Linked DNA regions of Caenorhabditis elegans. The main gene of each other region encodes a partner of the protein of the gene in region 2 in a complex. Each region holds a gene or a part of one and is shown on either strand. Other genes may lie near its edges.

Region 1 (8,146 bases), on a different chromosome or scaffold from region 2:
GATTGGTGGCCTAGGAAATCAAAAGAGTTCGGCCACCAAATTCCAAAAACCACCGAGAATCCGATTTTTCGACTAAAAATTCGGTTTGTTGGCCAAAAAGTGGGCAATATTCCAGTTTTTGAAAATTAATTTGACACGTGGCCTAGAAAACCAAAAAGTTCGGCTACCAATTAGTTTTTGGGTTCAAATTTTGCAGAGAACTCGATTTTTTTAATCAAAAATTCAGTAAAAAACACAAAAAAAAACGTTAAAGTTCAAAAAATGACCTTATTCCCAATCGGTGGCCTAGAAATTACAAAAGTTCGGCCATCAGCCAAAAAACTCGGCCACATGGGTAAAAAGGTCCGAAAAATTCGATTTTTCAGTTTTTTTTCACTGAAAATCACAGAAGCATCGATTTTCGGGGATTTTCCAGCTCAAATTGCACAAAAATTCAGGTTTTTGCAATTTTTGAGTTCAATTTTCAAGAAAATGCCAAAAATGTCAAAGTTTCCGTTCTTGACTTTCTAAAATCACAAAAATTCCCTTAATTCCGATTGGTGGCCTAGAAATTGCAAAAAGTTAGGCCACCATCATTTTTCGGCTGAAAATTGGCAAAATGGGTTAAAAAACTCGGGGTTTTCCACATTTAAAGAAAAATGTTCGAAAATTCCTATTGGTGGCCTAGAAAGTAAAAAAGTTAGGCCACCAACTTTTTTTCGGCTAAAAATGCTTAAAAAATTGTCTATTTTCGCGGAATTTGCTGGATTTTCTTGCAAATTCTCTAAAAATTGGCAAATTTCTCGAGTATTGGGTAGAATTTCACGGGAAATCTCAATTTTCCGGTAGAAATCCGAGACCTTTTCAAAATCAGTGTCAACTTCGACAAGCCAAGCTTCCAATTCTTCTCCACGGCCCATTAATTCCATTGCAACCATAATACTTGATAATCCAATGACATGTGGTGGAAAAATCAATGAAACATCACATCTTAGCGAATCATTTGCCACTTTTTGACATTGAGCTTCAATTGCTTCCAGATCTGCAAAAAAATGGAGGTTTTTTGGTGAAAAATTGGATTTTTTAGTGAAAAATTGAAAAAATTAGAAATTTTGAATTTTTTAATGAAAAAATGGAAAATTTTGGATTATTTAGTGAAAAATTGGAAAAATCGAATTTTTTTGAATTTTTTGGTGAAAAATTGGATTTTTTAGTGAAAAATTGGAAAAATCGAATTTTTTTTGAATTTTTTGGTGAAAAATTGGATTTTTTAGTGAAAAATTGAAAAAATTAGAAATTTTGAATTTTTTAATGAAAAAATGGAAAATTTTGGAATTTTTAGTGAAAAATTGGAAAAATCGAATTTTTTAGTGAAAGATTGGAAAATTTTGGATTATTTAGTGAAAAATTGGAAAAATCGAATTTTTTTGAATTTTTTGGTGAAAAATTGGATTTTTTAGTGAAAAATTGAAAAAATTAGAAATTTTGAATTTTTTAATGAAAAAATGGAAAATTTTGGATTTTTTAGTGAAAAATTGGAAAAATCGAATTTTTTTTGAATTTTTTGGTGAAAAATTGGATTTTTTAGTGAAAAATTGAAAAAATTAGAAATTTTGAATTTTTTAATGAAAAAATGGAAAATTTTGGAATTTTTAGTGAAAAATTGGAAAAATCGAATTTTTTAGTGAAAGATTGGAAAATTTTGAATTTTTAGTGAAAAATTGGAAAAATCGAATTTTTTTTGAATTTTTTAGTGAAAAATTGGATTTTTTAAGTGAAAAATCTAATTTTTAAGTTAAAAATTGGAAAATTTTGAATGATTTTGGGAAAAATTGAAAAAATTGGAAAAATTTGAATTTTTTGAGAAAAAAAAAAGGAAATTTCTGAAATTTTTTAGGGAACAGTGGAATTTTTTTGATTTTTTTTTTTTGAATTTTTTGGTGAAAAATTGAAAAAAATTGGAAATTTTTGAATTTTTCAGTAAAAAAGTGGAAAATTTGGAAAAATTTAAATATTTAGTGAAAAATTGGAAAAATTCGATTTTTTAGTGAAAAATTGGAATTTTTTTTTGAAAATTTGAATTTTTTAGTGAAAAATTGAAAAAATTAGAAATTTTGAATTTTTTTAATGAAAAAATGGAAAATTTTGGAATTTTTAGTGAAAAATTGGACAAATGGATTTTTTTTTGAATTTCTTAGTGAAAAATTGGATTTTTTAAGTGAAAAATCTAATTTTTTAGTTAAAAATTGGAAAATTTTGAATTTTTAGAGAAAAAAAAGGAAATATCTGAAATTTTTTAGGGAACAGTGGAATTTTTTTGATTTTTTTTTTGAATTTTTTGGTGAAAAATTGAAAAAAAAATTGGAATTTTTTCGTGAAAAATTAGGATTTTTTTTGTGAAAATTCAGTTTTGTTTTAAAAACATTTTAAATTTTTAAGAAAAAAATTCCGAAAAATTCTTCGAAAAAATTGAGGTTTCCTAATTTTTGGCATATTTTTTGTAGGGGAAAATCAAATTTTCTTCAAAAATTGAATTGCAAATTTTCCACTTTTTTACTGAAAAATTCAAAATTTTCCAATTTTTCACGAAAAAATCCCAATTTTTTTCAATTTTTCATCAAAAAATTCAAAAAAAAAATCAAAAAAATTCCACTGTTCCCTAAAAAATTTCAGATATTTCCTTTTTTTTCTCAAAAAATTCAAAAATTTCCAATTTTTAACTAAAAAATTAGATTTTTCACTTAAAAAATCCAATTTTTCACTAAGAAATTCAAAAAAAATTCGATGTTTCCAATTTTTCACTAAAAATTCCAAAATTTTCCATTTTTTCATTAAAAAAATTCAAAATTTCTAATTTTTTCAATTTTTCACTAAAAAATTCCAATTTTTTCCAATTTTCCCCTAATTATTCAAATTTTTCCAAATTTTTCACCCAAAAATTCCAATTTTTTTTCAATTTTTCACCAAAAAATTCAAAAAAAAAATCAAAAAAATTCCACTGTTCCCTAAAAAATTTCAGATATTTCCTTTTTTTTTCTCTAAAAATTCAAAATTTTCCAATTTTTAACTAAAAAAATTAGATTTTTCACTTAAAAATCGAATTTTTCGCTAAAAAATTTAATTTTTCCAATTTTTCACTAAAAATTCCAAAATTTTCCATTTTTTCATTAAAAATTCAAAATTTTCCAAATTTTCCACTTTTTTACTGAAAAATTCAAAATTTTCCAATTTTTCACTAAAAATTCCACAATTTTCCATTTTTTTCACCAAAAAATTCAAAAAAAAAATCAAAAAAATTCCACTGTTCCCTAAAAAATTTCAGATATTTCCTTTTTTTTTCTCAAAAAATTCAAATTTTTCCAATTTTTATCGATTTTTTTCCCAATTTTTCCTGGAAAAATCGCAATTTCTCCAATTTTTCACAGTTTTTATCAAAAATTTCCCGGGGGGGGGGGGGGGGGCACCTTTAATAGGTTGATTAGCAATAGTTGATTGTTGAGTAAATTGTTTCAAATCTTCTAATAATTCAAACATTGGACGTGATGCATGATGTACAACAAGGCAACAATCAAGAATTTCAACGAGAATAAACTCGGAATCGTAGACAACTCCATTTTTTGTCGATGTCGTCTCAAATGTCACTCCCCATCGTTTTGGCACTGAAAAATGAAGGGATTTAGGGGCGCGAAATTTGAATTTTTGAGGGGAAAATTTGATTTTTAGGCGATTTTTTGGACTAAAACGGGTTTTTTATCGAATTTTTGACGTTTTTAGTAGAAAAATTGAATTTTTGAGTGGGAGATTTGATTTTTTGGCGATTTTTTGAAGTAAAACGCGTTTTTTCGGACAATTTATGGGTTTTTTAGTAGAAAAATTGAATTTTTTAGCGGAAAATTGGTTTTCAGGCGGATTTTTTGGAGTACAACGGGGTTTTTTCCCGAATTTTTTGAAATTTTTTGCATTTTTAGTAGAAAAATTGAATTTTTTAGCGGAAAATTGGTTTTCAGGCGGATTTTTTGGAGTACAACGGGGTTTTTTCCCGAATTTTTTGAAATTTTTTGCATTTTTAGTAGAAAAAATTGAATTTTTGAGAGAAAAATTGATTTTTAGACGAATTTTTGGACTACAACGGGTTTTTTATCGAATTTTTGACGTTTTTAGTAGAAAAATTAATTTTTTAGTGGGAAATTTGATTTTTTGGCGATTTTTTGAAGTAAAACGCGTTTTTAATAGAATTTTTCGAAATTTTTAGAATTTCTAGCAGAAAAATCGAATTTTTGAGGGGAAAATTGGTTTTCAGGCGGGTTTTTTTCGAATTTTTTGAAATTTTTTGCATTTTTAGTAGAAAAAATTGAGTTTTAGACGAATTTTTGGACTAAAACGGGTTTTTTATCGAATTTTTGACGTTTTTAGTAGAAAAATTGAATTTTTGAGTGGGAGATTTGATTTTTTGGCGATTTTTTGAAGTAAAACGCGTTTTTAATAGAATTTTTCGAAATTTTGGGTATTTTTTAGCATAAACATTGAATTTTTGAGTGGAAAATTGACAAAATTCTGTTGTTTCTGCTGAAAAACTGGTTTTTTAAAAGAAAAATTGAATTTTTGATTAGAAAATTTGATTTTTAGGCCATTTTTTGGCCTAAGAAGAGGTTTTTATTCTAATTTTCTGTGATTTTTAGCGTTTTTAGCAGAAAAATTACATTTTAGACGGATTTTAGGACTAAAAAGGGGTATTTTATGAATATTTTCTGAACATTTCGGCGTTTTCCGCAGAAAAATTGAATTTTTTAGTGGAAAATTTGATTTTCAGGTGGATTTTTGGACTAAAACGCATTTTTGGTCGAATTTTTTACAATTTCTGGCGTTTTTAACAGAAAAATTGAATTTTTGAGGGTAAAATTGATTTAAGGCGATTTTTTGAAGTAAACCGGGTTTTTAATTAAATTTTCTTAAGTTTTTGGTTTTTTTAGCAAAAAAAAGATGAATTTTTGAGTGGAAAATTGATAAATTTTGGTTTTTTCTGTCGAAAATAGATTTTCAGGCAATTTTTTTGAAGTGAAAACGAGTTTTTTATCGAATTTTTGAAATTTTCGGCGTTTTTAGCGAAAAATCGAATTTTTCAGGTTAAAAATTGACAAAATCCGATTTTTCCACACAAAAAACGATTTTTAGACGAATATTAGGACTAAAACGGGTCTTTATGGGTATTTCCTGAACTTTTAACCGTTTTTAACAGAAAAATCGAATTTTTAAGTGGAAAATTTGATTTTTAGGCGATTTTTTGGACTAAAACGGGTTTTTTTCTGGTAAGTTGGGCGTTTTTAGTTTTTTTAATTAAATTTTTCTGAAAATTGGCCGTAATTTTTTTATTTTTGGCGTTTTTAGGAAAGCATCGAATTTTTGAGTGAAAAAGAGGCAAATTTTTCGAGTTTTTCGAGTTTTTCAGCTTAAAAATCGATTTTCAGGCGATTTTTTGGATTAATAAGCGGAAAATGAGCTGCAAGAGTGGAATTTCAAATTTTTTTGAGACAAAACTTGACTCAAAAACTGTTTTTTTTTTTTGGTTATTGAGGTGATTTTTAGAGTTTCTAGCTGAAAAATTTGGATTTCAGCGGTTTTTAAGTGAAAAATTGATGTTTTTTCCGGGTGTTTTTTCGGTTCAAAAGCCTATTTTTCACTAAATTTTCCAATTTTCAGCCGGATTTCCGCGTTTTTCTGCCAATTTTTTGCAATTTTTCCGTCGTAAAAACGCACAAACGATAGCTGTATTTTTCAGAAAGCTTGAGACGCTCAACGTAGTGTGTTCTTCAACTTTACACGCTAAAAATAATGCTGTAGAGGCTACGAGGAATGGGCACATGTCACGGAACGATTGCCTGAAAAATTCGACGTTTTTCCAGGTTTTTTATCATTTTTTTCCGAATAAACCTTAGATAAAATCGCTTAAAATAGATAATCGCAGTTGCAATAACCTGTTGACGGAGTTTACATCCAACATTTGCCTGTGAGTGGGCTCCTTCTGTGGCGACGGCGGTTATAACTGAAAAAAAACCAAAAATTATCGATTTTTTCGAGGAAAAAGTAAGGAAAAATTACAATTCGCCCAGAAAATATTCAATCGATTGTACTCTTCCTCGTTATAAATCTTCATATCCTCGGCGCGTTGCTTCCAAATCTCGGTTTTATCGAAAATCCATTGTTGGCTGGAAAAAATGGGATTTTTTTGGGTTTTTCAATGGGATTTACTTACCAATGACTGCTTTTCCAGAAATTTAAAGCCATTTTTCAACTAAAATCATTAAAAAAATGAAAAAATCGAGAAAAACAGTGGAAATTGAGTGAAATCGATGAAAATTCGAATAAATAAGAATAAATTCGGAGTGTGGATTTACGGTAAAGAACACGCGCCTGCGGGATTCCGGAGTGTCGTTGTATGTCTTTACGCGGTAGTTTAAATCGATTTTTTAAAGCTGGTGGATTATGGCTAGTTTAGAGGGGGTTTTGAAGTTTTTTTTTGTGAAAAATTCAACAAAACGTAGTCAAAATCCTTCTTCTGTGTTAAAATTCAAAAAATTCCATTAAAACCGAGACAAATCGAAATTTTTCTGCAAAGCCACAATAATTAATAATAATTTGGCTCATTTTTCAGAGTTTCTCATGAGTTTATGATTTTTGTGTCAAAATGCTTCCAATTTGCTTTAGGTTTATGTCAACTACATTTCACCCGTCTCCAATCCCTCTGACCACTTGAACTTTCACTTTTTCCCGAAACTAGGCGGAGTCTGGCGGGGGTGCTAGTGAAAACTATCCAATATGACACAGTCACCCATTTCTTGGATGAAAATCCGGCAATTTTGTTTGCAAAACTGAGCAGAAATCATCATTTGATAAGAAATTCGCACCTTTTTGACCTTTTTGACGCTGTAGTCACTGAGCAAATAGAAAAGTGGTACAAATTGGCTGGAAAAAGTCGTATAAAGGAGCTTTTTGGGGAGTTTTAAAGTGTGAAATTGGCTTTGTTAGGTGCTAATTAGTATATTGGAGATTTTAGGAAAAATTTAAAATTTTCGAAAAAAATTTTTTTTTTCGAAATTTTTTTTTCAGAAAATTTTTGTTCGAAATGTTTTTTTTTCAAATTTTCAGATTTCCAGCCAATTTCTTCGTCTATAAACATGTCCATCAATATGAATGCCAACTTTTTGAAGCTTCTCACCCATTTTCGGCGTCACGATTTGGTAAGTTGAATTTTTTCCCAAAAATTTGAAATTCCGACCTATTTTTGTTTAAGTCTTAATTAATGCAATAAAAATGCGAAGATTTTTCTTTGTTTTGTTTAAAAAAACATTTTTATAGCTTAAAAATGAGCAAAGTTATAGGATTTTTTCTAAAAATTTTTTATTCCAAAAAAAATTTTATTTTTTGAAATTTTCAACATTTTTTTAGTACGATTGTAACTTTTTATTTGAATAAAATATTTATCTACAATCTGCTTTAAAAATTATAAAAAAAATCTTAAAAATGAGAAAAGTTATGGTACTTTAAAAAAAAAAAAACTCAAAAAAATTTTTTCAAAAAAAAAATTTTTTTTTTTCAATTTTTTTTTAAAATTCCCCCCCAAAAGTACATTTATTTCTTATTAATGTTATTATGTACTATCACATCTTATCAGTACGAAACCCTTCGTGTTCTTCTGTTTTATTGAAACCAACGGAATATAAGGTGACGAAATGAATTTGACCTACTTTTTTCTGTTATTTGCGCCGCCGCCGAAAATTGGTGAAGAACAAATAATTATTGTGACCTTGTTAATGACAATGTCAATAATAGTTTTATAATAAGAAAGGTATTTACTTTTCCGGAAAAAAAAAATTGAAAAAAAAATTTTTTTGAAAATTTTTTTTTTTGGAAAAACATCAATTTTTTTTAAATTTTTTAACTTAAAATTAGTATCAAAATCAGATTCGTCGTCAAGTTCTACCCCTGAAACACTTTTTTCCGACTTTCCTACGCTAAATTCAACTTTCGCGGGATACTGTAGCCTCAAAAGTACGCAAACACTTCAACACACCAGATCTTACGACAAAATGCAGAAAAATCAATATTTTAACGCAATGTCATGCTTAAAACTGAATTTTCCGCAATTTCATAGGCAATTTAAGCATTTAGT
Region 2 (4,521 bases):
ATAATATTTTTATTAGGAAAAGTATTTATAAAAAAATTGGAAAAGAGCATAAAATCGTTGAAAATTCAAAAAGTTGCAAAAAAGTAAACGATGATTTTTAACGAAGGTACGACACTCCGCTACCAGAGAAGCGCGTGTTGTTTAGTACAACTTTTTTCGTTTCATTTTTTTCTTAATATTTTAAAAATTAGAGGATTCTCTTTATCAAAATACTAATTTTAAGCATTTTAGATGGCAGAAACATTAGAAGCTGTAGAAGATGCAGTGGACATTCTTGAAAAAGAGGTAGCGTACACACATCCTCGAAAAGTGGCCGAGAAACAAAACATTTTAATTTCAGATGCTCTCCTTCTGCAACCTGATTCCAGTTAACTCTTGGGGATTTGATGATGATGTCAAAGAATCATTGAAGATGCGAAAACACAGTTTGGTTAATCGACAACTCAGCAAAAGTAATTTATTGATAAATTTCTTTAAAATTCTGTATGTTTTTCAGAGGAAAGAAAGTCAATGTCTGCACAACAGAAACAACATCTGGCGAAAGGCTTAGGATTGGTTCCAAACACTGTTCAAGAAGTCCTCGAGTGGATGTCTAAAAGCAAGCAGCATTCGAAAGTGCAACCACAAAAGGTTGTTGCACCGGTGAAGAGACCAGCGGATCAGAACAAGAATAAAGAAAAAGTAGTGAAGAAAGACCAGAAAAAGCAAGATAAGAAAGCTGATTCTGATTCAGAAGAGGATGATTCATCTGACGACGAGGAGAAAGAAGAAACAGACGAGCCAGTTGCTAAGAAGCAAAAGAAAGAAGAATCTTCAGATGATGATGAAGACAGTGAAGATGGAGAAGAGCCTGAAGGAAATAATGGAGCTGTAGAGGCTGAGGACAGCGATTCAACGGACGAAGAAGAAGAAACACCATCTAAACCCAACAAAACCGTAGCACAATCTACTCTGAAATCGAATGGAAAAATTGACAAGGAGATTCAAAAGTTGGAAGACGATGAAGACAATGAATCCCCCGAAATCAGACGTCAAATCGCTTTGCTGAGACTGCAGAAAAAGCTGAAGGAAATGAAAGTTGAGCGGAAAGGAAAAGGACCGGCGAAGGTAACATCAGCGATGGCTGAAAAAATGGCAGAGGAGAAGCGTTTGAAAAGACGGGAGAGCAAGCTGAAGCTGAAACAAAGAAGAGCAGAGGAGAAGAAAGGAAAAGAGGCAGCAGCTCAAGTGAAGAAAGAGACTGTTGAAAGCACAGAAAATGGCAATGAGCCTGTCGAGAAGCAGAAATCTGGAATTTCATTCAATAATCTCAAGTTTGAAATCAAAGAAGACAAGCAGAGGGGCAAGAAACAAAGAGTGAGTAAAAATATTTTTATCTGAAATATCTGAAATTTTCAGACCGCCAAAAAAGATCGAGCTCTTAAACTTACCGGACGTGACTATAAATCACTTATCGCTAAAGTCGAAGAGACAAAAGCAACAATTGCCAAAGTTCGCGAAGCTGATCCACATAAGGCTACCATCATGGAAGATGAGCTAAAGTGGGAGAAAACACTGAAAAGAGCAGCTGGTGGAAAAGTGAAAGATAATTTGGGAATGCTCAAGAAGGCTTTGGTGAAGAAGAATAAGATGAAGGATAGAAGAAAGCAGAAATGGGAGAACCGAGAGAATAAGACGGAGGGAGAGAAGCAAACGGTATGTTGATTGGTAGAAAATCCTTTAAGATTTGAATTTTTATTTTTCAGAAGCAAGACAAGAGAAAGAAGAATCTCCAGAAGCGCATCGATGACGTCAAGAAGAGAAAGATGAACAAGTTGAGAAACAAGGGAAGAATCCTCTAAACAACACACATTTATCCGCTTTTAATTTCTCGTTGTTGAACATTTTTTTGTTAATTTTTACTGTTAACTTTTTTCTTTAAATCTGTGGCCTGTTGTTAAGTTTTTAAGTTTTCAAATTATACTAAATTCTTTGAAAAATATTCTCTTTTTTTTTGAAACTTGTGCCGTTGTTTCGGTAATTAATTATTTTAAAAGTTGTTAATGTATGTTCGATGGTTGTATTGTTCTAGATCTCAAATGGCAGAAACAGATGAACGAAGTCTACGGGATTTGCTCCTGGAATCTGCAGATGATTTGGAGCATATTGTTAAAATGGTACGTTCTAAAAAAATTTGAAACAATATTATAGTTTATTTTAAAATTACTTTTTACTGTGAGTTCATCTTATAGAATTCATGAACCCACATAATCAATTATTGTTTCAGATCGTCGATACACTCATCAATCGGGACAAAAGTGTTATGCTGAAAAATGGAGAAACCGTTACGAACATTATCAAGCTGTTTGACTCAAAACAGGATAGCATAAAGACTTTGCTGAAGAGGGTTCCTGAGTTTCAAGAACGAGAGCAGCTCATTCGGACGCTTGAAGCCCACGTGGAGAAACGAGACGAAGTTATTCAACAACTTGAAACGAATTTGAAGTCATGTGAGGTGGCTCTGACGCGATCTTGTTTTCATGTAAATTTTGTTGGAAACAAAGACTTTTTTCGAAATACGTTTATTTCAGGCAAACCAGAAGCTCAAGCAAATGAAAGAAGCTGAATTGAGACCAGTCAATAGTGAGATGCTCATCAAACTGGCTCATCAGATCAGTAAGCACAACTCCGTATCTGCACCACTCACTTGGCAAATGGGAGATCCATCGCGTCCGTTTCCTCAGGAACACGAATTTCGAGCTGGTCACCTATTGAATTCAAAAGTTCAGAGCACTGGACCTCAGCTTTTACCCGGAAAGAACGTCGCTCAGAGGCCGCTTATTACGGTATGTTTATGGAAACTTGTTGAAATGTGAATCCTCACCTGAAATATTTGATAAATGCATTTATAAATGCATTTATATAAATGCAATACTTCTAATGTTTTCTACGTTAATCTGAAATTCTTTTCACACTGTAACCGAACAGCTGTGAATCACGTGATTTATGTCTTATCTTCTTACATTATCTAACAGTCATTCCTTCTAATGATCAAATTATGAGTGATAAGAAATATTCAGTTCATATTGTGATCTCTTTCCTTCTACGTTATTCGTAGTAAATTTTATAAATAAAATTAAGATTCAACGTTCAATCAATATTATTTCAGTCTCCATCCGCATCCTCATCCAACGGTGGAACAGCTCCAATTCGAACTGTCGGCACTCCTCTTATTAATTCTGCTCCGACTGGAGATTTCAGTCCACGAACTGGTTTTGGCACCGACGAGCCTCCACCGATTCAACAGCAAGTACTCCGTGGAGCCACTCCAAATGAAAAGCAATGGCAGAATCCGGGAGTTTCAGGAGCCACCTCAACGCAATCCCCTTACAACCGTGTCTCGCAGGTCAGTGCAAACCGAGTGTACATAGACAGTGTTACTGGCGGCCCGCAAATGATGCACGGGTGGCGCAGTGGTAACGCGTTTGCCCGTTGTTCAGCTGTCCACCAGTTCGATTCTCAATGCACACAGAAAGTCGAGATTGCCGGCTTCAAAGGCTTTATCGTTGATTACGTGTGCTATAACAACGCCATAGGTATCATTCTTCGTCTTCTTAGGCGCGGAACATCTAAATATGGCTACATTTATCTGCTATTTTATAATTTTCCAATAAATAACATATTTTCAGAGTCCTTCTTCCTCGCCAAACGTGAAGCTGAAAATTACTGGACTTCCGAATCGTCCAGGAGGTATCGATCAAGTTCAAGATGTGCGGGATGTCGAACAAATGTCGTCGGACAGCTCCAACTCGTCAGATAGTTCAGATGATGAAGGCGCATCGAAAAAGACTGGCAGTAGCAATAAATAATGAAAGATCTCTGTAAATTCTGGTATTTTACTTATTGTACGTTGATAAATAAACACAATTTTCTATATATCTTGTGTTTAACAGTGACACTAACTGATTGCATGTGGTTCAGTGTCCACGCCATGTTTACCGCTATGCCAGCTGCCTTTCTTTCTTTCTTTATGTCCTCTAATCTATTTACTCCTTGAACTTTTTTTTCAACAATTCTAGTAACTAATTATATTTAGAAATATGCCAAATTTTGGAATATACCTAAGTTAGCTTTTGATTCAAATCTTATTTTAAAAAAACACTCACCCCATCTAGAGACGCAGAAACGAAAGGGACCACCCATGACAAGAGAGATGCGGAGTACGTGAAAAGATGCACAAAACATGTTGCAGTGAAAGTGTTGTTAGCCATCACTTTTTTTTGTTTTTGTGGGCTCAAATCAGTTTGAAGAAAAGTTGAAGTTGTAAAATTTCGCCTCCTTTCGTTTTTTATGTCATTTTATATTACTTGCCCTTTGGTAATAGATAAGAAATTATCTCTCCCATCAGACACATTCCCACACATCTTCTTTTGACTTGCCTCCACACAACTAATCTAGATATAGATGGGCGGTCCTGATTCTTGAATACAATACATGTGGAATGTTTTGTTTCGGAAGGATTCTTCAAGATTTCATTTGAAT

The links.
Region 1: mdt-4 (region 2) and cic-1 share a complex: the UniProt entries of both Caenorhabditis elegans proteins name them as parts of the mediator complex.

The regions. Positions count from the first base shown.
Region 1 is NC_003281.10:2,394,948-2,403,093, forward strand, and holds the start of cic-1 (Cyclin-C), read right to left. Parts: upstream 6,275-8,146; 5' UTR 6,262-6,274; coding exon 6,230-6,261; intron 6,183-6,229; coding exon 6,076-6,182; intron 6,020-6,075; coding exon 5,908-6,019; intron 5,856-5,907; coding exon 5,734-5,855; intron 3,639-5,733; coding exon 3,444-3,638; intron 1,022-3,443; coding exon 840-1,021; intron 710-839; exon of another isoform or gene 660-709; intron 1-659. Other genes in the region: Sterol 4-C-methyltransferase strm-1, read left to right, coding at 7,152-7,214. UniProt on the Caenorhabditis elegans protein: Component of the Mediator complex, a coactivator involved in regulated gene transcription of nearly all RNA polymerase II-dependent genes.
Region 2 is NC_003280.10:4,941,500-4,946,020, reverse strand, and holds mdt-4 (Mediator of RNA polymerase II transcription subunit 4), read left to right. Parts: upstream 1-2,071; 5' UTR 2,072-2,078; coding exon 2,079-2,156; intron 2,157-2,266; coding exon 2,267-2,521; intron 2,522-2,570; coding exon 2,571-2,825; intron 2,826-3,148; coding exon 3,149-3,385; intron 3,386-3,501; exon of another isoform or gene 3,502-3,668; coding exon 3,669-3,848; coding exon of another isoform or gene 3,849-3,858; 3' UTR 3,859-3,914; downstream 3,915-4,521. Other genes in the region: SURF6 homolog gldi-11, read left to right, coding at 232-285, 341-452, 497-1,356, 1,399-1,695, 1,746-1,841; ZK546.19 (uncharacterized protein), read right to left, coding at 3,703-3,858, 4,146-4,250. UniProt on the Caenorhabditis elegans protein: Component of the Mediator complex, a coactivator involved in the regulated transcription of nearly all RNA polymerase II-dependent genes.